Rattus norvegicus: one gene and its partners. The protein of the gene in region 5 binds, or shares a complex with, the protein of the main gene of each other region. Links are inferred from orthologs where the notes say so. Each region holds a gene or a part of one and is shown on either strand. Other genes may lie near its edges.

Region 1 (6,018 bases), on a different chromosome or scaffold from region 5:
TGGGAGGCACCTTAGAGGCCTATGACCCATTAGCCTTGATTTTGCAGTAGCAAACAAGAGAGCCTGTTCCAAACAACAAAAAAGGTAAGGCCTGGCGCCTGAGGTAACTTGTATACACACATAAACACACATACATAAACACACACACAATACACACACACATACAAATACACACATATAACCACACTACACACACATAACCACACACACATATACCTATATACCACCACCACATACATAAACACCCCCACACCTCCCCAAACATATAACCACACCACACAACACACACATATCCACATATCCATTTACTCTACCTACCACCACAAGCAAACACATCCTCACATACAACCACACCACACACAGAGAGAGAGAGAGAGAGAGAGAGAGAGAGAGAGAGAGAGAGAGAGAGACAAAGAGAGGGAGACAGAGAGAGAGACAGAGAGATTTTTTTAAAGGACTTAGCCAGGCAGTGGTGACACACACCTTTAATCCCAGTACTTTGAGTTTGAGGCCAGCCTGGTCTACAGAGTGGGTTCCAGAACAGCCAGGGCTACCCAGAAAAACCCCGTCTTGAAAAATCAAAAATAAATGGGATAAATAAATAACTTTAAACATCTTCAGTGTGCAGGGTACAGAAGTCAGAGTTCCCTCACCTTTCTAAAAATAAACCTGTAACACTTAAATCAAGCTAGGCATAGTGAGTGGTACATTGTGTGTTATCCCAGCACTCATGAGCCTGCAGCAGAATAACTGAAGCCACAGGAGCTACTTAATGAAGTCATCTTAGAAAACAAAACACAGGAGAACACCTTAATCTGAGTTCTCATGAAGGAGAGGCAGGAGGTCACCTGTGCTGGAGGACATCCTGGACTATGTATCAAGAGACTTCCTTTGTTCACTTTGGATTTTTTTTTCTTTTCTTTTTTTCGGAGCTGGGGACCGAACCCAGGGCCTTGCGCTTGCTAGGCAAGTGCTCTACCACTGAGCTAAATCCCCAACCCCCACTTTGGATTTTTAAACAGAGTCTCATGTAGCCAAGGTTAGCCTCCAACTCACTATGTAGCTGGGGATAACCTCATTAAATGTCCGGTCCTCCTCCTTTAGTCTTCTGAGCACTGGGACTTCAGGGTCTGCACTGCTGGAAGATACGGTTTATACTTGCCAGGCACATGGTCCACCAGCTGAGCTGCACATCCACCTGAGAACTTGAGTTATTTGCTTGTTTGTTCAGACAGGGTTTCTCTGTGTAGCCTTGGCTGTCCTAGAACTTACTATGTAGAGCAGAGATCTGCCTGCCTCTGCCATCTCTCTGGGATGAGAACCTAGATTTTTAAGAATCTTTTTTCCTCAAGTGTTTGTTTATCTATTTTTTTCTTCTAGAAGAAGCTACAAACACAATTTACTATTTTTGGTGGAGAGGGGTGGTAGGGATTGAACTCACAGCCTTATGCTTGCTAAGCCTGTACTCCAGCACTGGGCTACACCCTGGCCCCACCTAGAAGTTTAATTTTTAAATATTTAGATCCATTTATAGCTACCTCAGAAAAAAAAGGACTCAAATTTCATAACATTTATTAAAGACTTTGTGTTCACCTGAGTATTTTCTGTGCCATCTCAACTCTGTCAAAATCTCCCCACTATGTCATCTCTGTGGGTGACACATGCACACGTCTGTGTCCGTGTGTATATGCACACATGTGGGGGTGCAGATGCCACATGTGTGGAGCCAGAGTCCACATTGGGTGCCAGCCGCACTTGCTCACCACTTTGCGTCTCCCACTACCTCAAGCTGGCCAAGTTGGCAAGACTACTTGGTCCTCCTGCCCTGCCGCCCCAGACGGAGATTATATCCGGGTGCTGCCATCACACCTGGCTTTTACATGGATGCTGGGAATTTAAACTCATGTCCTTGTGCTTGCTCAGCAAAAAATAGATAATATGATACTATATAAGAATTTTAAGTCAGTGTTACAAGTTTCACTATGTAACCTTGGCTGGCTAGGAACTTGCCTTGAACCCAACAGAAACACACATCTCTGCTTCTTCAGTGCTGGGATGAAAAGCACAGCACTCAGCTACATATGCATTTAAAAGAATAAAAATAATGTTTTATTCTCTTAGAATTGTAGTTCAAGTGAAAGTCAAAGAAAATATTACAAGCACTAAGTTCCACCTCATCTATTTGTACACTTGTCTTTTAGTTAGAGATCTTGTCTACTAGAGGACAGTTAAGAACTCTGTGAAGCCCAAGATAGCTGGGAACTCAAGATCCTCCAGTCTTACCCTGTCTAGGGTTGGGATCACAGGTCTATGTCACTACTTCCAAGGCCTGCATCCCCGTACCCCAGGCTGGTCTGGGACTCACTGTGAAGTCCAAGTTGAGCTCTCGATGTCCTCTGTGGTGCTTGGCTTCTTTGACCCTGTTTACCAACTACAGAACAAATGTTGACCTTAAAACACTAAATGTTTGCTGTGTGTGGTGGTGCACACATTTAATCCCAACACTTGGGAGGAAGAGGCATTTGGATCTCTTTGAGTTCCAGGCCAGTCTGGTCTACAAGTGAGTTCCAAGCCAGCCAGGGCTATACAGAGAAGCCATTTCTTGAAAACAAAAACAAAAAGAAAAAACAAAACAAAACAAAAAAACCTACTGACACTAGGAACCAAAGTATACACAGGAATACTGCACATAATTCAGAAGGGATAAGTAGATTCTGGTTTAATGATCCAGAATGTTAGAAACACCCAGGAGAAAGAATGTAGTTAAGTCATTGCCTCTCCCTAGAGCTGACCTGCAGAGGAAAAGAAAAAGGCAGCATGCTTCTTTTATGTCTTATTCTATATCCTTACAAGTGTGAAAACTTGTCTGTTATTTGTAACGTGTTTTTGAGACAGGTCTCACAGAGCCCAGGCTGAACTTGGAAGTCAGTACAGGGCTGACCTGCCTCCATTATCTGATTCCGAGATTACAGGCATGTGTGCTTACATGCGCAGTTTATATATAACCTTTATATTTATAAATGTAAATTTAATGTTACTAAGGATCTAAACGGGTGGCTACATTTATATAAGTATAGTGAAAACTAATAAAAGAGACGCCAGAAGTTACCTGTATAATAGTGAATCCGGATCTCAAGATAATATCGCGTATCTCTTCTTCTTTATCAACAATATCTGGCTTGATAAGGGCTAGGGTTTTTTCTACATATATCTGAGGCAGGGGCATTGATACCTCCATTCTGGCGTTTTCCGGTACAATTTACAAATCTCCTGACCAGCTATCCGCAGCAACGACACGAGTCCCCGTCCCAAAATCAGCCTGTGGCAAAATCTGGTACTAGATTTGATTAATTTATAAAAATGGAAAGCACTATGCTTTTCTACGTATGCTTTTGCAAGAATACGACTTATACAGAGAAAGGGGAGCCCTAGCCGCTCGACTGAGGCTGGAGGCTGGATGGCATCAGTGTTGCTCTCCAGGAGTACGGGAAGGCCCTAGCCGGCTGCCCTAGCGAAGGGTCCCCACCTTGTAGGGACCACTTTGTACAGGCTTAGGCATGACAGGAAGGCAGGGTCCCAAAGTTCTCGGGAAATCTCCACCTGAGACCCTCCCAGCACTGGCCTCAGTTCAGGTGTTGTCAGAGCCCGTTCGTTGCTAAGAGACCGAAGCTGGTTTCCTAACGGTGGCTGCAGAGGCCCAATCCCAGCCGCGTTTTTTTTGTTTTTGTTTTTTTTTTTGTTTTTTTGTTTTTTCTTTTTCCTTTTTCTTTTTTTCGGAGCTGGGGATCGAACCCAGGGCCTTGCGCTTCCTAGGCAAGCGCTCTACCACTGAGCTAAATCCCCAACCCCCCCTTTTTTTTTTTTTTAAGACTCTAGTTAATTTTAACCTAAGGCAATAATTAGCCGTGTACATTTTATTCTCTTTGAGTCTTAGAGTACTACACACATTTCTCTCTCTCTCTCTCTCTCTCTCTCTCTCTCTCTCTCTCTCTCTCTCTCTCTCTCTCTCTCTCTCTCTCTCTCTCTCTCTCTCTGTGTGTGTGTGTGTGTGTGTGTGATATGGAGGTAAGAAAACTTTGTGGAGTCAAGTCCTTCCTGCGTTTCTGTGGTTTCCAGGGACGGAACTCAAGTGGTCTTCTTTACCCTTTGAGCCTTAGCACCAGCTCTTCTCTAATTGATCTCTTTTCTTCATGGTACATGCTTGAAGGATGCATTCCTTATCTGTAAATGAGATAAATCAGACACCTCTCTCGGTCCACTCCAGTTCCTCCTGGTCATTATATGAAAGACTAATGAGAAATTTATTATTTACTCTCTCTTTCCCTCATTCCTTTTCTTTTTCTTTTTTTCTTTCTTTCTGTTTTGGGGTGTGGGTGGTGGTGCTTGGGATCAAACCTGGGCAAACAATTGACCACTGAGCTATATTCCCAGCAAATACCTCCTGTGCTTCACCATATGATGCTGCTCCCATCATCCAGCTTATTTAATCATTTAGAAGCCCCCTTTGCAAGGTCAGGTAGTCTGGGGTTGAGTTCCTCTAATCCCAGCACTCCATGAGAGGCAGAGGCTGGATGCAATGGGGGTTTCCAGGAAAGCCTGGGTTTTGATGCTGTGCCCCAAAAACCAAACAAAATCTTTAGTTTGCAAACTATTTATTTATAGAGAAACAAAAGGTTCAATCAAATTACTTTTAAGTCTATGCAACAAAAATGTGGGCAATATTTACATCATAAATCCAGATCTCGGTACCCTACCCCACCCCTTTAAAAAATACTACATTGCAAGCACCGTTGACTTTTGAGGTAGGAGGTGAGGCATTACTATCCTTATTTGAAAAGTAGTGGAGAAGAGAAGTTTCCACTTCTTCTCTGGCCAGTCCTAAGGAGAGCTGTAACTTGAGAAAGAATCAGACTTGTAGTTCGAAGCTAACAAAACAGGCTTCCTTGGTCCACTGGATTAGCTGCACTCATTCCAGGCTACTCAGGTCCTTCCTTTTATCCAGCCAAGTACTCAGAACCTACAGGAGGAATGCAGACAGGAAGCCATGAACCTTAAAGCCACAGAGCAAGTGTATGAAATTTTATTTATTTTTATTGTCAAACAGATAAAACTACACCTTTTAAAGTTTGATGCTTCCCAAAAGAGAAACCCTTACATGTCTCCTTGAACTCACTATGACTTCTCCTCCAAATATGGGTCGGATACATGTACATTAATGTCAACAGTCGGGGCTGGGGATTTAGCTCAGTGGTAGAGCGCTTACCTAGGAAGTGCAAGGCCCTGGGTTCGGTCCCCAGCTCCGAAAAAAAAAAGAACCAAAAAAAAAAAAAATAATAATGTCAACAGTCACAACAAAAGAGACATGGACAGTGGTCCAACACCTGACTGGCTTTCAGTCTTACAACTCGGGCCTCTGAGAACAGAAGTATCCATCACTTGCTCATCTCCTGCCATTTTTGCTGCTGGCCTTCCCAGACATCCTTATCCCACTGTGTGTTAAATCTGGGCCCATGAGGACAAGGAGCTTCCCAGTCACAAGAGAACACCCACGTTTACCACAGGCTCTGCCATCATCTCTGAAAAGAAACTCTAAGAACACGAGGTCACTTCCATTACATCTTTATTCACACAGGCTTCTGAATCCCACTCCAGAATCCATGGCTCCCTGCCTTGTGGCACTCTGTGTTGTACAGTACCTGGATCTGCTCCAAGACTTCCCGCTGCATCTCCACCGCCATGTGGTATATGTGATGATCAGAGTCATTGTACATCACGGCATTTTGGAACATTAGCATCAGATCCCTCTGGAACTCAGCCATAGTGTGAATTCGTCCCTTAGACAGATTCCTCTTCAGCGTTGTTAAGTCCATGGGTCTGAGGAAGGGAGAGGAAACTAAACCTGAATATGTAAGGTCTAATGAACTAGTATTCTGGAGGCAGGGCAGGAAGATTACCATGAGTTTGAGGACAGAGGGAGGTACACAGTGATTCTAAGTCAGTGTGAGTGAGAGACCCTGT
Region 2 (6,240 bases), on a different chromosome or scaffold from region 5:
CCTGGACCTAAGCTTTCCTTTACTTAGAACTTGCTCCGTAGCAGACTGACCTTGAACTCAGGTATCTGTCTCTCTGTCCTCTCTTCTCTTCTCTTCTCTTTTCTCCTCTCCTCTCCTCTCCTCTCCTCTCCTCTCCTCTCCTCTCCTCTCTTCTCCTTTCTCCTTCTTCTCCTTTCTTCTTCTTCTTCTTCTTCTTCTTCTTCTTCTTCTTCTTCTTCTTCTTCTTCTTCTTCTTCTTCTTCTTCTTCTTCTTCTTCTTCTCTTCCTCTCTCTCTCTCTCTCCCCCCCCCCCCCGCCCGGGATTAAAGACATGTACCATAATGCCTGGACCTAAGTTTTTCATGGTCACTGTTCCTCAAGATCTGGATCAAAAGCATGTGTCATTCTACATCAAGATCCGAATCAAGCCTGTCTCTTCCAACCTTAAGACATGGATCACAGGTGTACTCTCCATTTCTGGACTGTAGTTCATTCTAGACTAAAAGTCAAAATGAAAACAATAACCAGGTAACAATACCTAACGTGATATATAACTATTCCTTGTCCAACTGCAAACACATAAACAATAAGCTTAGCTGGGTGGGATCTTGTCCTGAGGTCACCACTCCCTTAATCTATTTAATATACTTGAACGCAGGATTTCATTCCATTGCACTTCCTGGTGCCCATTTATTATTTGAACCATACATCTTGTAGTTTTTCTTTTTAGGCTTGCTATGCTTAATCAGAGCAATCTTCATGACAGTAATCCAGAGGACAAAGTCTATGCTGGGTGTTCCTGAGACTTTCTTTATCAGTGTGATTAATCTGAGTCCTTTCACCTGAGTCTCAGACAGACTCTTCAGACAAGGGAAAAGAGCAGCAACATTCTTCACCAAAGCATAAGAAAGATCTCCAGAGTTCAAATCACCAATATCTTCTATATTCCTACTAGGACGAACCATTAAGCCTCACTTGAAGCATTCCATGGCTTTCCAAATCCAAAGTCCCAAAAGCCACATTCCTCCAGCCAAAACCATGGTATCACAGCGATCCTCAGTCTCTGGTATCAGCTTCTGTGTTAGTCAGTGCCCGTGACCAAGGCCACTATTATAAGGACAACACTTAATTGGGGTTGGCTTGCATTTTCAGAGTTTCAGTTCATTATCCATAAAGCAGGACCATGGCAGTATCCAGGCAGGCATTGCAGGAGAGAAGCTGAGAATTCTACATCTTAATGTGAAGGCCTCCAGGAGAAGATTGGCATCCTCCTCAGGCAGCTAGGAAGAAGCTCTCAAAGCCCACTTTCAGAGTGACGCACTTCTTCCAACAAGGCCACACCTCCTAACAGTGCCACTCCCTGGACCAAGCATATTCAAACCACCACAGCTTCCCTTAAGACTCACCTCAAGCACGTCCCTGTCATCATATATCCTGGGCTCTTACCCCACTGAATATCCTGCCATATTCTAGCTATCACACTGTGCTTTCCCATCTCAATAATCCTTTCCTCTCTACTCTTGGAACATACCTCCTCCTTCGAGCCACAGATCATGTCTGGCTCTGGAGTTTTGTCAAGCAGTACAAGGGAGTTTCTCCTACTTCAAGTAGCTCATACAGCCCTTGTCATGCTGCCTACAAAGTGTATAAGAGAGTGTTAGTATGTGTGTGCATGCATGCGCATGTGTGTGCCCTGCTGTCTCTCCATGGTGGCAAGTAATCAAACGTGTGCCTACTCTCAGCTGTTCCCCAGTCTTTTCAGGTATGAAGGCAGATACGTGAGTATTTTTTAGGGTGACTATTTCTATTTATAGTTATATAGGATAACAGACCAAACAAATGATCCCACCCAAGCCCAGAATTGTGACCCAATGAGATTAAAAGACCAGAATATGTTCACCATTGCAGTTCTCGACTCCTGTCTCAAAGGTGCAGACTCAAGACTGGAGTGACATGTGAACGTGGTTATTCACACGTTATTATTATAGTCAGACTGAAAGTGCTGTCTGAATGTCCTGGCAGGGGATCAATTACATACAACACCATGGAATCCAGCCACAATATAAGGGGCTGGAAATGCTCTCTAAAATAGGCAGTGGTTTCCTAGTGAGGCACAATGCAGGAGGAAAAGGGAGATGTAGAAATTGCTCCTGCTTCCAAAGGAATATACACGTGTATGTATAGTGTAGCCCTAAGAACGACTGGAGCTGGCACAAATACGCTGATTTCCAACTAGATTGGCACTGGTGTCCTAATCACAGAGAGACAAACACGGCAACTGACTGGGCTGTGTCTTCACGGTGCTTCTTCTGTGGGAAATTCTCTATAGATAAGATCACCACATGGACGTATCAGTGTCATTTATATACAACATGGAATACACTCTTCCTGCTGCTCCAAAAACATAGGATCTGGGGCTCTGGCAGCTGCTTAGCGTTCTCCGTGGGGCTTTCATGAGGTCCCTCTGTCATCTCTGCAACATACATTTCCTGGTCAGGTTAGGAAACTACTAGCCATCTCTTCTGTCCTAAGAAGTGTTATTTCCCAGCAAACACCAGTGCTCATCCAGCTTCACAGAAGAAAGTCCGCTCCCACAGAAACATCTGGAGCAGCTGCTCTGAGACAATGGAGGAGGTTCTCTGCCAGGACCTGGGAAGAGTGCTGGATTCGGCACTCAAAACCACCGCAGACCTAATTTCTGAGAAACAATGAATAATTGTCTTATATATATTTGTGCTAGCAAGTAACCTGCTTATCTAAAAGTAAATTTCAATCAGGCAGCCACCAACCTAGACACTTAGATTAGTTTTCCTATTGGGTGGCTAGAGGGCGGGAGAAGGAGGGGGGGAGGAAGAAGAGAAAGAGGAGGAGCCGGAAGAGAGGAGGAAGGAGAAGGAGTCCTTGCGCTCCAAAGGCTCTTACAGGAGAACTAACCCTCCCTCGGATTCTGAGTTGAGACCTACTTGACTCTCAAGGTGAAAATTTTAGAACTGCTTCTGCAGAGACACTAGAGGGCCGGTTCGAAGGAAAACGCTCCAGCCTCCTTGGTGCACGCATCCGATGCACGTTCTGGCCACACGCCAGTGAGTCGCGTCCCGTTGCCTGGCAACGAGAGCACGCTCTAGTGTAGAGCTAAGGTTCCATTGCAGCCCAAGTAGTGGAGGCAAAGGGAAATGAAAGGAGAATTCGCACTCTAGGGGAGGGGGTGCACTCTCGATAGAGCCAGGAACGCGCACTGTAGGGGAGGGGGCACGCAGATGGGAGAACCAGATTTATGGGAAAGGAAACACTGTGGAGAAACAGCGGGAGGAACCCAGCAGACACGGGGACTCTTCTTAGATAGGAGCCTTGTGGAGCAGCAGATCTTTGAAGTCAGGAGAGACACTTTCAAGGCTGCAGGCTTGTTGGCTTGGTAATTTTAAGACCTTTCAGAGTGAACTCACGGGCTGGAGAGATGGCTCAGCCGTTAAAGGCTAGGCTCACAACCAAAATATCAGAGTGAACTCACACACAAGCAACTTCAGCTAGCCCAAAGACACCCTCCACCAGGCTCTAGCTTGCACTCTCCCCTGGTGTGCGTGGTTAGTTCTTGTCAATGTGACACAAACCTAGATATACCTGGGGGCAGGAAATCTCAAATGAAGAATTGTCTCCATCAGATTGACTCGTGGGCGTGTCTGGGAGGCATTTTCTTGGTTGCTAATTATGGGCATATGTCCACTATGGGGAGTGCTTGTCCCTGAGAAGGCAGGCTTGGGCTGTGTAGAAAAGGTAGCCGAATCAGCCAGAGAACGAAAGCCTTCCTTTCATGGTTACTGTTTCACGCTCACTCTCCCATTGCGTTGCTGGCTTGGCTTTCCTTGATGATAGACTGAGTGTAATCTGTAAACCAAATAAATTCTTCCCCCCTCCCCCCGGGTCATAGTGTTTACCAGAGCAACAAAAAGCAAACAATGGGCCTGGCATTGCTCGGTGGTAGAGGCTTGCATAAATGCAAGAAGGGACGCTGATGGATCAACAGAGTCTGAGCCCTTCCTTTGCCCACCCGCCCCCAACATCAGAGCACTCAGACATCTTTACTCGGTACTGAATGTGGGACAAGTGCCAGGGGTGGTATCCTCAGAGGGCTTGTCGCGTTTAAGCAGTGCAGCAGTCACTCAGTAATCCAGGCATGGAGAGACGCTCTGGCAGTGCATTGGTGATTCTGTGCTGGGATTCTACGAGAATAGCGAGAGGATCAGTGACTGGGGGTTGCACTGGGGATTTCGTCGAGCCACACATATATTCAATCTAAGATATCGGAAGTTGCACTTCACCAAACAACAACTCCTCGTCCGATCACATGAAGCAGCAGGGATGTGGAAAACTTAATCCACACAAACCCTTCTGTATGTTCCGTTTCCCTGTCTTCTGACTTCTAGAAGCTGTCTCTGGACATGATCTTGACTTTCATGCTCCTTCTTCCATGTGTTTTGTCACTCTGCCACCCTCCACGTCTGGCCTTACTGACACCTCTGGCAATTACAGCTGTGCCTATGTGGCGCTTTCCGTGAGAATGAGCCCGAGAGGCTCAGATATTTGAATGCTTGGTTGACAGTTGCTGCAACTCTTTTGAAAGGCTTCGGAGATGTCTTGTTGGAGGAGGTGTGTCACTGGGGGTGGACTTTGAGGTTTCAAAAGTCCACAGCAGGCTCGCTCTGTCTGCCCCTACCTCCAACGTGAAGACAAGCTTTTGAGAACTGTTCCAGCACCGTGCCTGCTTGTGCCCATGCTCCCAATCCCATGGCGGCTGTGATTCCCCCTCTAAAACTGCAAAGCTTCAAGTTAAGTGCTTTCTTTTGTAAACCGTCTTGATCGTGGTATCTCTTCACCACCAATAGAAAAGTAACTGAGAGGTCCCGCTTGTATAACACACACTCCTTATTTAAGATCCTTAATCACAATTCCAAAGCCCCCTTTATCATACAACATAACATCCACAGGTTCCGGGTTTGAGATTATGGGTTCCTGTGGAAGCAAAAATGTAGCACTGGAATAAGCCTTCAAGATGGCTCCTGTGTCTACATTGTCAGAGTCTTACTTCCTGGCATAATAAACTGTCTCTGGCTGCTTATATTTTTTTTTGCCCCAACCCTGGAGCCAAACTTTTCCTTAAGGATCTACGATCCCTTAATTCATGAACAATATTTAATCCCCCTTTGCAGCTGGGTATGGTGGTGCACACCTCGCATCCATCACTGGGAAGGGATCAGCAGGAAAAAGCATGTTCAACCATGGTGGGCTACCTAGGGAGTTGCTGGCAAGCCTAGCACAGTGAAACCCCGCCTCATGGAGAAAAACAAAGAAACAAAGAGTGCTGGCAGCATTCACTGCTCCTGGGGTATTTGCGATTCTAGACTCTGATATCAGTGAGGGGTAAAATGTATTTATATTTTCTATACCAATGTCTAGTTATTCAGTCGTGAGCTGAAAAACTGGGAATATGGAGGCTTGGTGCTAGGAACATATGTTGACAAAATCTTGTTCCGTAATAGCTCCTGTTTCTTAAATTCTTGCTGTATGCCAGGCTCAGTGCCTTTCACGTGATCAGTAGCTCCATTCGCTCCTTCCATATTGTGAGGTATGTATTTTACTTCTGTTTTCTAAAAGGTGCCAAGACTCTGAGACACCAAGCAACTTGCTGACGAGCACACCGCTGTAAGTGGCAACACCAAGACGTGGGCTGTCTGGTGCAGGTCTCTGTGCTGCTGTGGCTCTGCTCTGGTACTGCAACTTCTGTGTCAGACGACATTATCTGCCACTCTTGACACCTATTAGGAAATGCAGGATCATCCGCTCTCCCTAAAGCCGTGCTGTGGTATTGCATGTCAGATGAGGCTTGGCAGGCCCATCATTTGCAGGCCCATCATTTTCTTCCTCCTTCTCTCTCCCTGTAAAGTAAATGAGCCTCTGCTGTCTATGTCATAGAATAGCTTCCAACCTCACAATAGCACAGCTTGCTGTATACACAGAGTTTCTCTCCAGGGCCTTATTTTCTCTGTACTTAAGAGGGAATATTGTGTGGGTTGGTTAAAAGTCTTCAGCACCCTTGACTAATAATGAGCCAGGCCCTTTCAACACTGATGACCACTGGGACTCCTGGTCTGACGTATTCTAGCTGAAAAGCTGAAGAAGCGGGCTTGAACGTAACAGCGATCGGCAAGGGTGATTTGGTTGGTTATTCTAAGAAAGGTAATGTTACGGTTTGCATCTTTTAAGTGA
Region 3 (5,480 bases), on a different chromosome or scaffold from region 5:
CGAAGCCAGCCTGGTCTACAAACCAGGACAGCTGGGCTACACAGGAAAAAAAAATGGGAAAAACAATACAAAACAGAAAAGAAAGGAAAAAGAGGAAAATGGTTCACTTCTGATTCTTTTAGGTGTTTCTAAAACACAGAAAAAGCCCCACTAAAAACAGTATAGTCTTATTCATTATAGATTGAATTAATGCGAAGACCTTTGTGTTGCACTTCAAGGCAAATTCGGAAAAAAGGACAGTAGAGGACAAGAGCAGAAGGACAAGGCCAGGACCCAGCTGCCGGTCCCTGGGAGAGGTGACGGACAGGTGGGAGGCAGGTCTTCACGAGGATGCGCACGCATACCTCAAGTTGAGGTACTGCAGAGACTTCATTTCCTTGGAGAAGCCGTCCAGAGTTTCAATCTGGTTGTCTCGCAGATGCAGAGTGGTCAGGTTGCTCAAGTTTTCCAGGCCTTCCACCTTCTTCAGCAGGTTTTGAGCCTACGTCCCAGCAGATGGTAACATTAACCCAGAGTGGGGAGCAGAGAGAGGGAGCAGGAAAAGGATGAAGCCAAGGAGAAATCTGAGTAGCGAGTAGCAAGCAGTGTGGGTGTAGAGAAGGGGAGTGGGGACAGATGGTGCGATGTAGAGAAGGAAGAAGTGCAGACCTAGGTGTGGTGGCCCATCCTCCAAAATCCTAGTAGTATTCAGGAGACAGAAGCAGGAAAAGTGTCATGGTGTAGAAGCAAACCTGAGCTACCTCAGGAAGTCTCCAGGCCTGCCTGGACTACTACCTTAGCTCAAATATCACCCCTTCCCCCCCCAATAAAAAAGACAAAGGGGTCATCGGGACTGCTCAGTGAGGAAGGTGTTGGCAGCCATGCCCAACAACCTGAGTTCATTCCCCTGTACCCACACGGTGGAACGAGAGCCAATGCTTGTCGCTCATTCTCAGGCCGTGCTGTGCTTGCCCCGCACACAAAGTTAGAAGTAATTGTAAAGCAATTTTAACTAAAAAAAAAGAAAAAGAAGGGCTGGAGAGATGGCTCAGAGGTCCTGAGTTCAATTCCCAGCAGCAACATGGTGGCTCACAACCATCAGTAATGGGATCCACTGCCTTCTTTCAGTTTGCAGATATACAGGCGGGCAGAATGCTGTATACATAATAAATTAATAAATTTTTAAAAAAATAGACAAAGAAGCCCAAAAGCTAGATTTCCCAGAACAACAATAAATCTGTCAGGAGAGATGTTTCTGGGCCAGAGAGGAAGCCTTGGAGGTAGAGCTCTCCTACAGCACGTATAAGACACTGGTTTCAAACCCCAATACAAAAGAAGCAAAACCAAGACAGACCCATCTATTCATCCCATCAAGGCTCTCTAATTCCAGAAGAGCTGATTAGATCTGCCCTTGTCCCAGGAGCCCCACTCACTAACAGAGAAATGGCTGTAGTACGTTCCAGAAGTCAGCATGTCATCCAGGGTAAATGGACAGAACTTAGAGCCTGGCTGGTATGGTGGTGCCCAGTGTGACCCCAGCACTCACTTGGAGAATGGATCAGAAGGAAAGCCTGACCCTGTTAAGGAGTCAGGCCAGTGTAGGCTGTGCAGGGAGATCCTGTCTCAAAAATAAAAGTGAACTTGGGGCCAGAGCAATGGGTCAGCAGTTAAGAGCATCTACTGTTCTTTTAGAAGACCCAGGTTTCGTTCCCAGCACCCGTGACAGCACACAACCTGCCTGTAACTCCAGTTTCAGGGGATCTAGCCTCACTCCTGATCTCTAGGGGCACCAGGCACACACATGGTGCTACACAAACACACATACATGTAGATAAAACACACACATGAAAATATTTTTTAAGGAAAATAATAAAAACAAGATCTGGTGGCACATACATATCCTGGCACTTAGAAGACTGAGACAAGAGGACTGCTGTGAGTTCTAGGCCAGCCCGACTCATATAGGCCAGTCAGGGCTACATGGTATGACCCTTAACAACAACAGAACATGGGCCATGGGCAAGGCTTGGTCAGTAAAATTCTTGTCATGCAAGCATGAGGACTCGTGTTTGTCCCCAGCACTCACATAAAAAGCCAATCTTGTGTTGGGGTGGGGCGGGGTACACAGTCTGTAATGCCTGCTATTGGGGTAGAGACACTCAAGACCCCTGGAGCTAATTAATTAGGCCAAGCTAATTAATTAGTGAAGTTTCAGGTTCTCTGAGAGACCCTGTCTCAAAACATATGGTCAAAAGCCACTGAGGAAAATGCTTGAAGTTCTCCTTGGGCTTCCACACACAGCACAGTTGCACACCTGTATGCACACACGGTGTGTGTGCGCGCAGACATAAACACATAAAACAAAACTATTCGATGTTAGCTGGGCAGTCGCCTTGACCATGGTGTGTCTTCACAGCAATAGAACAGCGACTAGGCAAATACATTCGGGGTCTTCGGTTTCTGCAGACATAAAAAGATCAGGCGAGGGGTTGGGGATTTGGCTCAGTGGTAGAGCGCTTGCCTAGCAAGCGCAAGGCCCTGGGTTTGGTCCCCAGCACTGAAAAAAAGAATAGAAAAAAAAAAAAAAAAGATCAGGCGAGCCAGGCAGTGGTGGCGCACGCCTTTAATTCCAGCACGTGGGAGGCAGAGGCAGAGGCAGTTGGATCTCTGAGTTCAAGGCCAGCCTGGTCTACAGAGAGAGTTCCAGGATAGCCAGAGTTACACAGAGAAACTCTGTCTTAAAAGAAAAACCAACACACACACACACACACACACACACACACACACACACACACACACACACATTATAATGATACATACTAGAATTCTGGCACTTGGGAGGTGGAGGCAGAAGGATCAGGGGAGTTCAAGGTCATCCTCAGTTACACAGTGATTTCAGGTTAACCTGGGCTACATAAAACCATCTCAATAGGGGGGTTGGGGATTTAGCTCAGTGGTAGAGCGCTTGCCTAGCAAGCGCAAGGCCCTGGGTTCGGTCCCCAGCTCTGAACAAAAGAGAAAAAAAAAAAACCATCTCAATAAATAAATGGATATTTATTTCTTTGCCCATTCTCTGTACCTGAAAAGCACGTTTTGCAACAACCTATATCACACATCATATATTGTAGCCCTGCCTTCCTCTCTCCCTCTTTCCTACTCGCTTCCCTCTGAGAGACAGGGTCTTATTCTGTAGCCCAGGCTGGCCTCTAGCTCTCAGCAGTCCTCCTTACCCAGCCTCCCAAGCGCTACCACTGTAAGCATGAGCCTGTACTTACTGTTTTAATTTTATGTTTCCACAGTATCAGACCCCGTGTGGGCCTTGTCACCACCACGGTGCTGAAGCTACTAGCTAAGCCTACCAGAAGCCAAGGCTGCTCCCTTCCCTGTGCCACCCGAGGACCCATGAGCTACCAGGTAGAGATTCTTTAGCTTGGGAAGGTTGATTCCTATTGTGGTTTCCAGCTGGTTCGCTCGAAGCTCCAGGGTGTGCAGGTTAGTCAGTCTTTCGGGGTCCAGACCAGTCACCTGGTGGATGCGGTTCCCTATCAGAAAAGAGGGAATCGAGATCGCAAAGGGCCATGGTGAAGGTTCAGCAGGAGACATGTTGCTTTCCCCTGACCCCGTATCTTCTCCCGCTCTGATGTGGGGTGGAAGGTGAGGGAGCTCTGAGGCAAGTAGACCTGGGTTTGCCCATCTATACTTTGAGAATGAATTGCTAATGCCTGAGCAACACTCATGGCCGACGTCCTTCTTCCCTGCATACCTTTGGTCAGGTGGCATTTCACCTAAACAACCAGTTTAAAATTGTCATTTGTGCTGGGCCTACAATTCAGACCTGTAGGCCCAGCTACTTCTACCTAGGACCCTGAGGCAGCAGAATAACAAGGCTACGGCCTTCCTGGGCTACAACTGAGTGAGTTCAAGTGCAGCTTCAGAAATTTACAAGATGCCCCTCTCCCCAAAATTAAAAGTAAATTCTGGGGTTGAAGAGATGAATTTAATGGCTCAGAGCACTGCCTGCTCTCCCAGAGGCTCTGAGTTCCATCCCTAGCAGTCACGTGGTGGCTCACATGGTGGTTTGAAATTCTTGGCCCATGGTGTCTCTTCACAGCAACGAAACCTTAACTAAGACAGAAGTTGGTACCAGGACGGGGGTGTTGCTCTGACAAGCCTGATCATGTTTTTGTTTGGAGAAATATGGACTTTGGGGCTGTCGGATATTACCATGAAGAGACACGATGACCAAGGCAACTCTTTAATTGGGACTGGCTTACAGTTTCAGAGGTTCAGTCCATTACCATGTCTGAAAGGCAGATATGGTGCTGAAGGAGCTGAGAGCTCTTGATCAGAAGGCGGCCAGGAGGAGACTCTGTATCAAACCAGCAGACTTAAGCATATATGTGAGACCTCAAAGTCCCACCTCCACAGTGACACACTTCCTCTAACAAGGCCACACCTCCTCCAACAAGGCTTCACCTCCTAAAAGTGCCACTTCCCATGGGCCAAGCATATTCAAATCACCACACCATCCATAATGGAATCCAATGCCATCCTCTGGTGTGCAGGCCTACATGCAGACAAAGCACTCATGCAAAAAATGCATAAACATGCTAACCTTTAAAAATCTTTTAAAAAATGAAATAAAAAGTCATAATAGGGCTGGGATATGGCTCGACAGAAGAGTGCTTGTTTAGCATGCACAAGATCCTAGATTCAGTCCCTTGTACCAGAAGAGAGAGAGAGAGAGAGAGAGAGAATGGCACTTGTGCATTTTACAATCTTTCTCCACTCTATTTTCTATAGAATTTACCTCCTTTTTGAGTTATGCTTTGTTCTTTAGACAGGGTCTCACCCTGCGAGCCAAGCTGACCCAGACTGCCTTTGAACGTCATCAACCCTGCTCACACCTCCAGTGTGTAGGGTCCCAGTTGTGAGCCTTCATACCCGGCTTCTATCTACTTACTATGTTGTTATCTGTTCAGCGCCCTAAACAGAGTGGACTCTACACGAGAATAGAGACTTCTGGCTTTGTTCAGTCAGCATCTCCAGCATAAAGAATCTTATGAGAGGCTGTAGAGATGACTCAGTGGTGAAGAGCCCTGGTTGCTTTTTCAGAAGACCCAGGTTCGGTTCCCAGCACCCACATCAGGCAGATTCCCCAGAAGCTGACATTTTCTTCTGGTCTACACAGACACCTGCATGTGCCCATGTACATGTAATTAAAAGTAAATTTTTAAAAAAGAACGCAATTAATTTTAATAGGCCTCTGTTTTCAGCTAGGCCCTGTATAAGTATATAGACAAGGCTTTACCGCTGCGTCAAAGTCCCGGCCCAGCACGTGTCTTAACCAATGAATGCCTGTATACAGATGGCTGTGTGGCTCATAGCATATACTGCCTATTTCTGTCAGCTCCATGCAAGGAAGGGAAGTTCTGTGTGTGTCTTCCTAAGAACCCACCTTTGAGATCCAGGCTTCCCAGACGGGGATGGATGATGCCTTC
Region 4 (5,978 bases), on a different chromosome or scaffold from region 5:
CCTCTGCAGAAAACCTGACAGTCTAGGCACTTGAGGAATAGTCTTAGTGGAGGGGTGGCCCATCATCACTCACGGTCGCTCAGCACGTCGTAGGCTTCTGCTATTTGCCTGAATATTTCTGGTGCAGTCGGCTCATTTGACTTTAATGGGTGGTTCTTCAGGGCAAGCTTCCGGTATCTAGATGGGGAAGGAGAGCAAGCCTTTGCCTCTGACCTGCTTGTGAGGCTAGAGCATGGCCGGGGCTGGCTCTGCTTTGTTATGAACCAGAGAGAGTAGCACAGGTATCGGCGGCTGTGGGGTGTGTTGCTTGGACCTTTTAGAAGAGAACCTGGGGTAGAAAACACAGTTGGCCTGAAGCCTGAGCGCTGATCCCTAGGCATCTGTCCTGTGGCTGCTTGTCCCCTTAGCTGTCACAGCTGAGACCTAAGGACAGCAGGGATTCGGTGGTGGTCCACCTGTGAGACCAGAACACTCCCAGGTTAGCTTCTCGTCACTGTGACAAAATGCCTTTGGTTAGCGGTTTTCATCCGTGGGTGGCTGACTATTGCTTTCAGGTCGAGCATCATGGCAGGAGCCAAACGGCTTGCCTGCATGGCAACCAGGAAGGATAGACAGAAGGAGAAGTGGGAGAGGAAAGGGAGAAAAGAGTGGAATGGGTGTGAAAAGGGAGAAAAGGGGCAATGGGGACACACAAGAGGGAAAGGGAAGGGAAGGGAAGAGAAACATGGGGGTGGGGGTGGGGACAAGACATCAAAGGCCAACTCCGGAGACCACCTTCTTCTAAGTAGCCCCTACCTTGTAAGAGCCCATTCCAATATGAAGGGATTAACCCATTAATTAATTGATTGATTGACAAATTAATGACATTTACACCCTCCTGAGCCAGTTGTTTCCCACTGGCATAACCTGCTAGGAACAAAGCCTTTAACCAACGAACACTTCATGTTCAAGCCCCAACATCCTCTACCTACTTGGCTCGAAGACTCCCCCACAAGCCAAGCTTAGCTCCCCTCCCTACATAACTCCTCCTTCCCTTTCTAGTCACAAGTCTGGGGCCTACACTGCGGTCTGCAGTCTCCCTGTTTTCCCCAGAATTGGTTCCTGTGGTACGGAGTTCATCTAACTCTGTCTTGTGTCTACTTTGCAGAGGATCATGTCTGACACAGGCTTCTCGAGTGTGTTACGGCCCTCGGGTCCCATTAGGCCCTAGCACTCTCTTCCACCTCTGGGCTCATGCTTGCCCCACTTTCATATCTGCCATCCCACCACTCTTCCCAGGGACGACTGCAGCGTCTGAGGCTACAGTCAAGAGAGATCGAGTGGATGATCTGTGGAGTTTAAAGGGATCATTCACTAAGGCGCAGGATGGAGACCACCACAAAAGACAGTCATGCAGGGGAAGGGGTGTTCTGACCTTCCGAGTGAAAATGGGGAGCTGAAGTGAACCCTGAAGGATGTGCATCTGACCTGGCAGGAGCTGAGACCAATTAAGGGATCTGAGCCCTCTGGAGTGGGCACATAGGAAGGGGACTGTTACATAAGCACCGAAACCACTCTCTCCTTCTATCCTCTTGTTTCCCTCCCCTTTAGGAAGAGGTGCACACAGGGAGGCATTCGACCAAGGAAACCTGCAGGGAAGGGCAGGGAATCTTGGCTTGGTACCATGCAGCCCCTGCTGGGTCTGATCAGGGCACCCGCTCTGCCCAGCCCTAGCACATAGGCGTCTGGTGCTCTGCAGCTTCTCATTTCACAGCCTGCAGTCTGAGCTCATCTCCCACACAGCAGATGCCCATTTCCTACCAGCCCACTTCCCTGAGCCACAGACATCTGTGCCCCACCCCTGTATTTCAGGTCTTCTCCCTGGCCTTGCAGTTCTACCAGATCCAGAGCCCAAACAGGACCTCCATTCCCACACCCACCCACTGCCACAGCCGGAAATCTTTTTTTAAAAAGGAATTATTTATTATATGAATGTAAGTACACTGTAGCTGTCTTCAGACACACCAGAAGAGGTCATCAGATCCCATTTCAGATGGCTGTGACACACCTCTCCTGTTCCTCCACCCACCTCATTTATTAACACAGTCTCTCAGTAACCTGGAACTCTCCAAGTAGGCTAGGCTGTCTGTTCAGGTAGCCCCCGGAATTCACCACCCTTGTCCAACTCCCCAGAGCCAGGTTACAAGCAAAACACAGCTTTCTTCATGTGGGTTCTGGGGGTCCAGCTTGGATCCTCTGCATGCAGCTGCTTTATCAGACGGGCCATCTGGGTACTCTGCTCCTACTCCACAGTTCTCTCTCTCTCTCTCTCTCTCTCTCTCTCTCTCTCTCTCTCTCTCTCTCTATCTCTCAGAGACGAGAAGCTGAGGCTCAGAAAGGTTGAATTGCCTGAGTATGTTATATTTGCTGTCCTAGGGGTTTCTATAGCTGTGCTAAAACACCGTGACCAAAAGCAGCTGGAGGGGTTTATTGTATCTTACATGTCTGCAACCAAATCAAATCTTCCATCATCAAAGGAAGTCAGGGCAGAAACTCAAGGAGGGAACCTGGAGGCAGGAGCTGATGCAGACACCATGGAGGGGTGCTGCTTATGAGCACAGAGGGTAACTCTGTGACTTGGTCAACCTGCTTTCTTAAAGCACCCAGGACCACTAGCCCAGGGATGGCACCACCCATAATCAATCACTAATTAAGAAAATGCACCTTGCCTACAGGCCAGAAGGGTGGGGACATTTCATCAATTGAGAATCTCTCTTCCCAAATGACTCTAGCTTATGTTGAGTTGACCTAAAACTAGCCAGCACATTGGTCTTCTGGTAACTAGGCTATGCTTAGCTATTTGCCACGGTAGCCATCCTTTGACGAGCCCCACTGGTCACCTGCTTTCTCTCATGGTAACTTTTTACTTGATGAATACCACTGGCCAGTAAAAGCCCTGAGCAGTGGGTGACATCACACACTACACAGAACTGTCTCAATTGTTTAATGAATTTATCTGATTTCTCCATCCCCACTGGACACCCACTTATCCCTCCCCTTCAGTCCACACAAGCAAGACCTGGCCCAGGGAAGAAGGGATCATGTCTGATTTCTTATTCCATTTGCCACATACAAGCCCGTGGGATGACAGTGGCATTTTCCTCTCAGGGTGGCTGTGAGGATTAAATGAAGCAATGACAGAAGGCTCTCAGAACAGCACCCACATGTTCAATACAAGCAGCTAGTGTGCCTCCAAACCTCCAGTTGCCTCAGATGCTTCCTTTTGTCTTTACCTTGGATGACACAACTGATTTCCAAACTCAGTGTCTCCTGTCCAGCCCTCTCAGGAGCCTTAGTCCTCCTTCAAGCCTCACCCTTTGGCTTTAATTATCTGGACAGCCTCCTTAGAAGCCCCTCGCCTCTTAACACAAGCCTCTGCTGCACCGGGTACGCCTCCCTTTATAACAATACACATAAGATGAGGGCTCCATAAATATTTGCCCAAAACTTCTTTTCAAAGAAAAACTTTAAAAGATCAAAAATTTCAGAAACATAGCCTGACCTTTATCCTAGATGTCCCTCTAAATACACACACACACACACACACATACACACAGACACACACACACACTTCTTCTCTTTTACAAACAGGGCCTTGCTATGTGGCTCAAGCTAGCCACTGACTCACTGTTTGGGGGTTAAAGACATGGACCATCTCACCCATATCTAGACTGTCACAAAGTCCCTGAGACTTGACAGAGGTGTTCAGAGACAGAGATCAGTCAGTGACAAAAACCCATGTGATGGCCAAAATGAAAACTGTAACATCCACTTGTCCCAGTCATTTCTGGTCCACATGCCTGTGGCTCTCCATGAGACTCAAGATAAGTTCCAAATGGTCCTTTGTCCTTATTTCATAGCTAGGAATTCGGACATGACCCAGGAAGAGCTAAGGGACAGGAGTTTGGGGCATTGGAAGCCCCCTGATGCACTGAGGGTGTGTCTGAATTTCCAGTTCGTGTCCTGACCAGCACGAAGTCAGATAGGGCATACAAGGGAAGAGAGGTGCCCCTTTCCTACCCTAAACTGCGCAGGGAAACTATTTGGCTGGCATCAGGGCGGGGCTGCCTCTGCACTTGCTGGGCTAGGATCCCACCCACTTACGCCTTCTTGATCTGGGCATCCTCTGAGTTGCGATTGACCTGGAGCACAGCATAGTAATCCATCCCCATGGCTGGTAGCAGTGGGTCAGTTTTTCCTCAGACTCCAGCGTCTGTTCGTCGGCGTTCTGTGGTTGCTCCTGACAACCACGAGTGGCACCCTGGGAATTGTAGTCTTTCTATCTTGAGGAAACGGCTGTGGGGCGCTCATAGCTGGTTCCGTGATCTCAATAAAGGTCACACAGCTAAGAAACTGGAGTCCCCGGCGCCTTTTTGCTTATGTTTTAGTACAGCCACAGCCTTTAAAATCTTCAGAATAAAGCCGGTTGTAGTGGGGCAACATCTTTAATCCCAGCACTCGGCAGAGGCAATTGTGGGCTGGGGGATAGTCTGATGTACATAGTAAATTTGTTGTGGGTCTGGGGTCATTCAGAGATTCACTGACTCAGTTTTGGTTTTAGTAGAGACTTTTTTTTTCCTCTTTTTCTTTTTTCTTTTTTTCGGAGCTGGGACCGAACCCAGGGCCTTACGCTTGCTAGGCAAGCGCTCTACCACTGAGCTAAATCCCCAACCCCAAATTAGAGACTTTTTATTAAAAAAACAAAACAAACAAACAAAAACTGGCCAGGACCAAACCAGAGAAAATTAATCGAGGTAAGACTCTGGCTATTGTTAGCCAAAGGATTATAAAGGAAAGATCCACAAAGTTATAATTTTGGGGGGCAAATTAATTCATATCGTGTTTGGGTGTAGGCAAGGCTTGATTTTGTAGCAGACATCCAGCAGGTGCCTCCGCCATCAAGCAAGCTGACGTTTCACAGAAAAGCAGAGCTTAGCAGTTAGCCTGTTTGACCTTGTGACCTTGTATGAGTAATTGAGCCAGGGAACGGTTTTGCAACAATCAGCAATTTTTTTTAAAGATTTATTTATTTATCATATACAAGTACACTGTAGCTGTCTTCAGACATACCAGAAGAGGGTATCAGATCTCTTTACAGATGGTTGTGAGCCACCACGTGGTTGCTGGGAATTGAACTCAGGACCTCTGGAAGAGCAGTCCATGCTCTTAACCTCTGAGCCATCTCTCCAGCCCAACAATCAGGAATTTTTAAACAATGGCCCAACTGTACCAGGAAGCGGTCCATCCGTCTCAGGCTAGCTCACCTGGTATATTCAAGGTGGGAGCAACTTCCTCATGGCTTACACAAGTTACAAACAACTGTTTTTACAAGCCTAGCACAGTAAATTTATCCTCTAAACATACTGTTCACCAGGACAGCTAGATCTACCTAGAGAGCTTGTCTCTCTTAAAAGTATTTGTTTTTTGTTTTGTTTTGTTTTGTTTTGTTTTTGAGAACAAGTTGAGTGTGGCATAAGACCAGCTTAGGCTATGGAATAAGTATTTTTTTTTCTAAAAACAAATTTATTTGGCTGATTATTTATTTCGGTTTTTGAATTTTCGAGACAGGGTTTCTCTGTACACACTGACTGTCCTGGAACTCACTCTGTAGACCAGGCTGGCCTCAAATTCAGACCTACCTCTGCCTCCTCCTGGGCGCTGGGAATAAAAGTGTGCACCACTACTGCCCAGCTCTTGTCTGATTTTTTTTTTAAGATTAAAGGATAGTTTTATATTTTCAGAAAAACAAGATTAAAATGTTCTCATATACCCTACCCAGTTTCCCTGTTGGTGCATTACATTAGTTCAGCACATTACCTGCTAGGCAGCAGTTTAGAGCAGGTACTGAGATCTCACCGGACTGAGCCAAACCTGAGTTCAGTCCCAGCATCCAGGTTGGGCTTACAACAGCCAATAACTCCAGCCCCAGTGGATAACTG
Region 5 (6,022 bases):
CTGCACCTTTCCTGCCTCAGCCTACAACTTTCTTGAGGCAGGAGCTGTCTCTCAGGATCTGCCCACAGTGGCAGTGCCTCCTCTCCAGCCTCCCCACAGCAGTGCCACAGAGACGACACCTCAGCAAAAGCTGGCTTCAGCAGGGAGAGACTTTCCACCCTAACCCATGGGCCTGATGCAGGGAAAAGGGGGGTGAAAAAAGCGGCCAATCCCTGAGCAGGAAAACCCCCAGTCCCTGAGCTCCCCAAGATCAGGACTTGAAATCCCACCACCCCTCAATCTGGAAACCTCTGTCCTGAGAAGCTCCACCTCTCGGAAATCCTATATAAAAGCACTGCCTCTTTGTCTAGCTCATTGCTCTCCGCTCCCAGGAGCAGAGGGTAGCCATCCTCGGATTCATCCCTCCATACTGGACACTCTAATAAATCTCGTTCATGAGATTTTCCACCTGGTGTGACTTTCTCGTCGGAAGAAGACAGGAAGACAGGAAGCAATGAAAAGAAGAAGAGAAGACATGAAGGAGGGGACCGAGACTCCTCAGCTCCTCAGCTCAGCTGGGGATTCCCTCCTGCACATGCGCACTCGCGCGCGCACACACACACACACACACACACACACACACACACACACACGAGAATAAGGGAGCACTTACAGGAAAGGGTGAGTGGAGAAAGAGGAGTCAATGAAGAAAACACACCCCACAGTGGCCTCCTGAAATGAGCACTCCCATGGGGAGCACATGGTTCCTACTGTCCAGAATATCTCCAAGTTCAAAACTAACTTCAAAACTAGAGCAGAATGCCCACCTGTACTCCTAACACTCAGGACGCTGGGTTACGAGGGTCACCTCAAGATTGAGGATCTCTGGGACTACATAGCATGTTTCTATCTCTCCAAAAAAAAAAAAAAATGAAACAAATCTCTGGTGGTTTGTTGATCTCCAACACACATTCACAAAATAAAAATAAAATCTATACATGAAAAAGCTAGCTCTTGGGGTTCTTTCCAAGAAATAACGTCAGATTTAAACATGGCAGAGCAGGCCTGGGGACAGTGGGGAGGCATCCCAATGTTTCAAGAGACACAACGAGGTACCAGCAGCATGGGCAGTGAAGAGGTTCACCCACCTGCTTGTGCAGGACTTTCAGGAGTCCCTGGGTCAGGCCTGTGTCAGTCTTCTGTGTAGCCACAGGCATTTCAATTCTGTCCTTTACGGGAAGTGGGTCTCCTCGGGACAGGGCTGAAAAATACCTGGAAGGAGAGACATCACTGAAGAGATCAGCACAGAGGCAACACTCTCTCGTCACCCCAGCAGATGTGCTGGGAGCTCCCAAAGCCAGCGGACCACACTCAAATCCCGGGACCTTGGCTGGACAACCTCCTTGAACTTCACTGTGCACTGTGGGTTCTCTGTCTGCAAAGCAGACATGCTGATTGCTATCTGAGGGTCCTGGAAGCACCAAGTGACAGAGAGCTTACATGGGAACCAGGAGAGCCTCACTGAACTGTGGTTCATCTCCCTTCTTCTGAGTGCTGTGTTTCTTTGTTTTATACATATATATATATATATATATATATATATATATATATATATTTTTTTTTTTTTTTTTTTTGGAGCTGAGGACCGAACCCAGGGACTTGTGCTTGCTAGGCAAGCGCTCTACCACTGAGCTAAATCCCCAACCCCAATATTTTTATTTTTGTGTGTGTGTGTGTGTGTGTGTGTGTGTGTGTTGTGTGTGTGTGTATGTGTGTGTGTGTAGGTGCAGATGTCCATGTCCAGGAACTGGAGTCACAGTTGGCTGTAAACTCTGTAATGTGGGTGCTAGGAGTTCAAGTCAGGTCCATCAGGAAAGCAAGCAAATACTTTTAACAGTGCCCCATCTCTCCAGCACTCCATGCCTAAGGCTATTCCTTTTCTGAGACACTCTTTTTTTTTTTTTTTTTCTTTTTCTTTTTTTTTTTCGGAGCTGGGGACCGAACCCAGGGCCTTGCGTTTGCGAGGCAAGCGCTCTACCACTGAGCTAAATCCCCAACATAGGCTATTCCTTTTCAACAGCTGCTTTCTGGGCTATGTGGCATTAGACAGCTCTACACGTTCACTTGGAGGTGGTGTGGGCATACACAAAGGTCATCTACTTCCCGCTTTCCATCTTTCCCCGTCCTGCCTGCCACCCTCCCACCCCCAATCGTTCCATTCCAGGTCACTGAAAATGCTTAGGCTGGAGGCAAAGGAGGCACAGAAATGGCTCAGGGCAACAACTCGGGTGGATTTCTATCAGATTTGACCAGAGGGAGGCCTTGTGCCAGGCAGGGTCTTGAGCCACAGTCGTTAACCAAAGAATTTGTACAGGAAAATGTACGTGAAAGTAAGCACCAGGGCAACAGGTGTGTATATGAGTCCCCAGAAACCTCTAAGTCTGTAGCATGGGTGTATGCGGAAAGTGGAGACTGTGTAGATCAAAGATAACCCCCTCTCTCTTCACCCCTCAGGGTCAACTCTGCCTACAACTAAGACTTGTGCTCCTCTCTGTGGTTTTGTTAATGATCTAAGGAGTGGTTCGGACAGCCATGAGAGAATCAGATGCAGAACTGTGGACCTATCGGTCCAGGCCCCATTTGTGGCTTGGCAAACTCATACCTATCCTATAGTCGCCCTCATCACCAATCAAATGAATCATGGAGTTCTTGAGCAAGGCCTCAAAAAACTCTCTCGGAAGTATTATCAAATGTGCCCGGTTGGGGCAGAGTCTCGGAGTGCACATAAACTTTCATAAAAAGCTAGCCCTTTCTCTAAGGCTTAAGCGTAATATCGTAGAGGGGACATTGAGAGAACAGTCAAAGGTGGCCCTGACAGAGCTAAATAAGAGACATCCAGGTCCTTTCCCTGGGGCCTGTGAGAGGTACATCTTTGCACGATTAAGGACTTTAGGTGGAGAGCTATCCTGAACAAACTGTATGGCTCCTAAATGCATCACAGGAATCCTCAAGGAGAGTAAGGCAGAAGAGAACCCATGGATTGTAGAATGGCCATTAGAGTGCAGTTCCAACAGCTGAATCAAATATGGAAGCCGCCACCCCAAAAGCCTGTTGCCTGCTTCAGATGATTTGGGGTTTTTACCTCCAGAGATGTTGTTTTAAAATAAGTTGAGTTAGGGGTTGGGGATTTAGCTCAGTGGTAGAGCGCTTGCCTAGGAAGCGTAAGGCCCTGGGTTCGGTCCCCAGCTCCGAAAAAAAAAAAAAAGAACCAAAAAAAAAAAAAAATAGGTAAAATAAGTTGAGTTATTAAAACAGCCAAAAGAAATGAAACCACCTTAGTTATACAGTTCAGAGAAAGTTAGCAAAAATTGGCTAAAAATATTTATTCTCGTGATTTAAACAGTGGCAGAGTTCTCGTGTAAAAACCGAAAGAATGAGTGGTATGACTATACTGGCCAGGCCCAGGGTTCGTGTCCTTATTTCTAGAGTGTGAAGGTTTGCTAGCTGTGAGCTGTGCTAGCCAATTTTCTCAGGTGGCAGCCTTCGCATACCTCAGCCTCAGTGGGGTTGGGGGAAGGAACTTAAGTCAGTTGTTCTGAGCGGTTTCACTGTAACATCCCTGTAACTTTTTTTTTAACTCAGCGGAGCCTCTTTTAGCCCCGCGGTTGGTGTGCAAGCTTTGTTAGTCTACACCCACAATGTAGGCGTCTGTACTCGGTAACCGGGTGAGGTTCCCAGGCCGGCCTTACCCTGCCGACCACTGCAGCACGTCCGCCGGCTGCGTACGGATGGCAGCCTTGGTGAACTGCTTGAGGATGTCCGGCAGCTCCGGGGGGATGTGGATCTGCTGCGCGCAGAACATGGTGTCGGGCAGCGGCATCGCTCTGGGCAGACCGCGGCGGCCGGGGACGATCCGCTGTGCTGCGTGGGGAGAGGCAGGGTCAGCGCAGCGCAGCGGGCGGCGGGGAGGGCCTCGGCGGGCTCCGCTTCTAACCGGCTGCTCCGCCCCCTCCTGGAAACTGAGGCCCAACCGCCCACAGCACCTGGAGCGCGCGATTGTGGCGTGCGGTTTCCAGGCAACCTGAGCTGCGCAGGCGCACAGCCTCGGCGAGCAAGGGGCGGACGTCCGGCCCGTAGTCGCGGTGACCAAAGTTTCTACAGAGGGGAGAGTGCAACAAAACAGCTTGTTTTCCTAAAATTCAGAGGCTGAGCTAATCTGGACCCCACGAGATCGCAAACTGTCTTCGGGATAGACCAGGGTCTCGGCTTGGCGTCACCATCTGTGAATCCATTTGGTCCACACACCCACTGTATGAATACACATTTCCAAACCAAAGCAGCTTTGGGAAAAGAAAAAAAACAAAAAAAACAAAAAAACAACAACAACAATAACAAACTGATAGAATGGGCAAACAAGGATTCTCAGACACTGTAAACAGAAATGTGCGTTTATCTGGGGACTACAGAATTTTCTGATGACTTAGCAGTATAATTTATCCTTAACGGGGGTGGGGAGTAGGTATAAAGGAGTAAATAATAATGTCCATTATGTAGCTCGGTAGGTTAACTTTTATTAAAAGAAAAACAACATAATCGGATAAAACTTGACATAGTTAAAATCTGATGTGGGGGCTAGTGTGCTACAAAATTTCTGCGACTCAGTATGGGGTTCATTTGAGCTGGGAACTGGAGACATCCCGGACAACATTTAGTGTTTCAAGAAGCAACAAGTCTGTCCCCACCCACACCAACACCACTACCACCACCGCAAAAATTAGCCACAAGACCTGTGAAGCTGAAAAGATTGTAAAACCTCCAATCTGGGTTTGCAGGTGTCCTTTTATTCTTAAATGTCTCATAGGTATAAATTGTGACAATTAAACTTGTATTTTGCTGTTGTATCTAAAAAATGTATGCCTAGCTTGACATTGAACTAAATTTTTTTACCCTACAGAAATTAGCATTTGGGGTTTTACTTAGAACTAGAAATATTCATTTGTACATATCTGTAAATGAATGTTTGCTTTTCATTCTGTTACTTCATTTTCAGCATCCATGCACCATTGTGAAGGATCCACTGTCTACATGTGGGAGTTGTCTGCTTTACCACACTGTGGCAAGGAAATGGCCTCCTAAGCAAAGAACAAATGACTGTGGTTCCTGAGCAAGAAGCTCCTTCCTCCTTCAAGTATGTCCTAAAGCATAAATGAACGGGAACAGAAACTTTAGGCACTGTTATATACATTTTTTTTAAAAGTCTTAACAATGTAAACTGATGCAGACAGGCCTGTGCCTTGGTGACTGTCTACCTGAGATAAAGGCAGCAGGCAGCAGGAGGCTGATGGAGGATTAGGTGTGTATGTGTGCAGACCTATAGAACCCACTGAGGAAGCAGCTGGGTCCCGGTGTCTCCCCAGTCCTGTGTGCTGGCTCAGGCGGCTGACTTCTCTCTCATCCCTCTTTTGGTTACTATCTGTTCTCCACTTGTGGTCCTTGGAGGCAGACATCTTCAGTCACTTGACACATCAACTCTCCTAATCACTGTGTTTCCAATGAGTAGATATAAGGTGATAACCATTTCTGAGTATTGATTTCCTTTGATGAAGACTCAACTTCACAGATTAAAGATGTCTGTGGCTCAAAGAACATTTTCCCACTGCTCCTACATTAAACAATGTATTAATAACTGGGTGGAGATGAGAAAAATGTTGAAAGCTTTTGAAAAACTTGAACTTAGAAACAGAAAAACTAGAAATGGCCCCGAAAACCAAAAGATCTCATTATCATAAAGGAGAAAACCCTTTCATTCTCAGGCATGCAGGCAATGGGCATAAAGTGGTTGCTGACGTGTCTTTTATGAGCCTCCATCCCAAAGCGATGGCTCATGGCACGAGGAGAGGTTTCAGGCCTTCCAGTAAAAATGCTCTCCACTCCCGTGCATGGGCAGGGACAGAGGTGTCCTCTGCAGCTACACTTCCCACCCACTGTCAGAGTACATGATGGAACTCCGAAGCTTCAGGTAACTTTTCCTTTCCATTATAAA

The links.
Region 1: Ropn1l (region 5) and Nme5 share a complex: the UniProt entries of both Homo sapiens proteins name them as parts of the axonemal radial spoke complex. The link is inferred for Rattus norvegicus from reciprocal best matches to the Homo sapiens genes ROPN1L and NME5.
Region 2: Ropn1l (region 5) and Dydc1 share a complex: the UniProt entries of both Homo sapiens proteins name them as parts of the axonemal radial spoke complex. The link is inferred for Rattus norvegicus from reciprocal best matches to the Homo sapiens genes ROPN1L and DYDC1.
Region 3: Ropn1l (region 5) and Lrrc23 share a complex: the UniProt entries of both Homo sapiens proteins name them as parts of the axonemal radial spoke complex. The link is inferred for Rattus norvegicus from reciprocal best matches to the Homo sapiens genes ROPN1L and LRRC23.
Region 4: Ropn1l (region 5) and Dnajb13 share a complex: the UniProt entries of both Homo sapiens proteins name them as parts of the axonemal radial spoke complex. The link is inferred for Rattus norvegicus from reciprocal best matches to the Homo sapiens genes ROPN1L and DNAJB13.

What each region holds. Positions count from the first base shown.
Region 1 is NC_086036.1:26,451,189-26,457,206, forward strand, and holds the start of Nme5 (NME/NM23 family member 5), read right to left. Parts: upstream 3,641-6,018; 5' UTR 3,239-3,640; coding exon 3,110-3,238; intron 1-3,109. Other genes in the region: Brd8 (bromodomain-containing protein 8), read right to left, coding at 4,967-5,017, 5,697-5,874. UniProt on the Homo sapiens protein: Functions as part of axonemal radial spoke complexes that play an important part in the motility of sperm and cilia. Does not seem to have nucleoside diphosphate kinase (NDPK) activity.
Region 2 is NC_086034.1:16,972,636-16,978,875, reverse strand, and holds the start of Dydc1 (DPY30 domain-containing protein 1), read right to left. Parts: upstream 3,845-6,240; 5' UTR 3,598-3,844; intron 3,097-3,597; exon of another isoform or gene 2,842-3,096; intron 1-2,841. UniProt on the Homo sapiens protein: Functions as part of axonemal radial spoke complexes that play an important part in the motility of sperm and cilia. Plays a crucial role during acrosome biogenesis.
Region 3 is NC_086022.1:159,270,423-159,275,902, forward strand, and holds part of Lrrc23 (leucine-rich repeat-containing protein 23), read right to left. Parts: coding exon 5,438-5,480; exon of another isoform or gene 4,820-5,437; intron 3,522-4,819; coding exon 3,391-3,521; exon of another isoform or gene 3,275-3,390; intron 482-3,274; coding exon 345-481; intron 37-344; coding exon of another isoform or gene 1-36. UniProt on the Homo sapiens protein: Essential for sperm motility and male fertility. Plays an important role in the proper assembly of the third radial spoke (RS3) head and the bridge structure between RS2 and RS3 in the sperm flagella.
Region 4 is NC_086019.1:164,270,877-164,276,854, forward strand, and holds the start of Dnajb13 (dnaJ homolog subfamily B member 13), read right to left. Parts: upstream 4,218-5,978; 5' UTR 4,212-4,217; coding exon 4,144-4,211; intron 178-4,143; coding exon 74-177; intron 1-73. UniProt on the Homo sapiens protein: Functions as part of axonemal radial spoke complexes that play an important part in the motility of sperm and cilia.
Region 5 is NC_086020.1:84,160,358-84,166,379, forward strand, and holds the start of Ropn1l (ropporin-1-like protein), read right to left. Parts: upstream 3,860-6,022; coding exon 3,729-3,859; intron 1,252-3,728; coding exon 1,128-1,251; intron 1-1,127. UniProt on the Homo sapiens protein: Functions as part of axonemal radial spoke complexes that play an important part in the motility of sperm and cilia. Important for male fertility.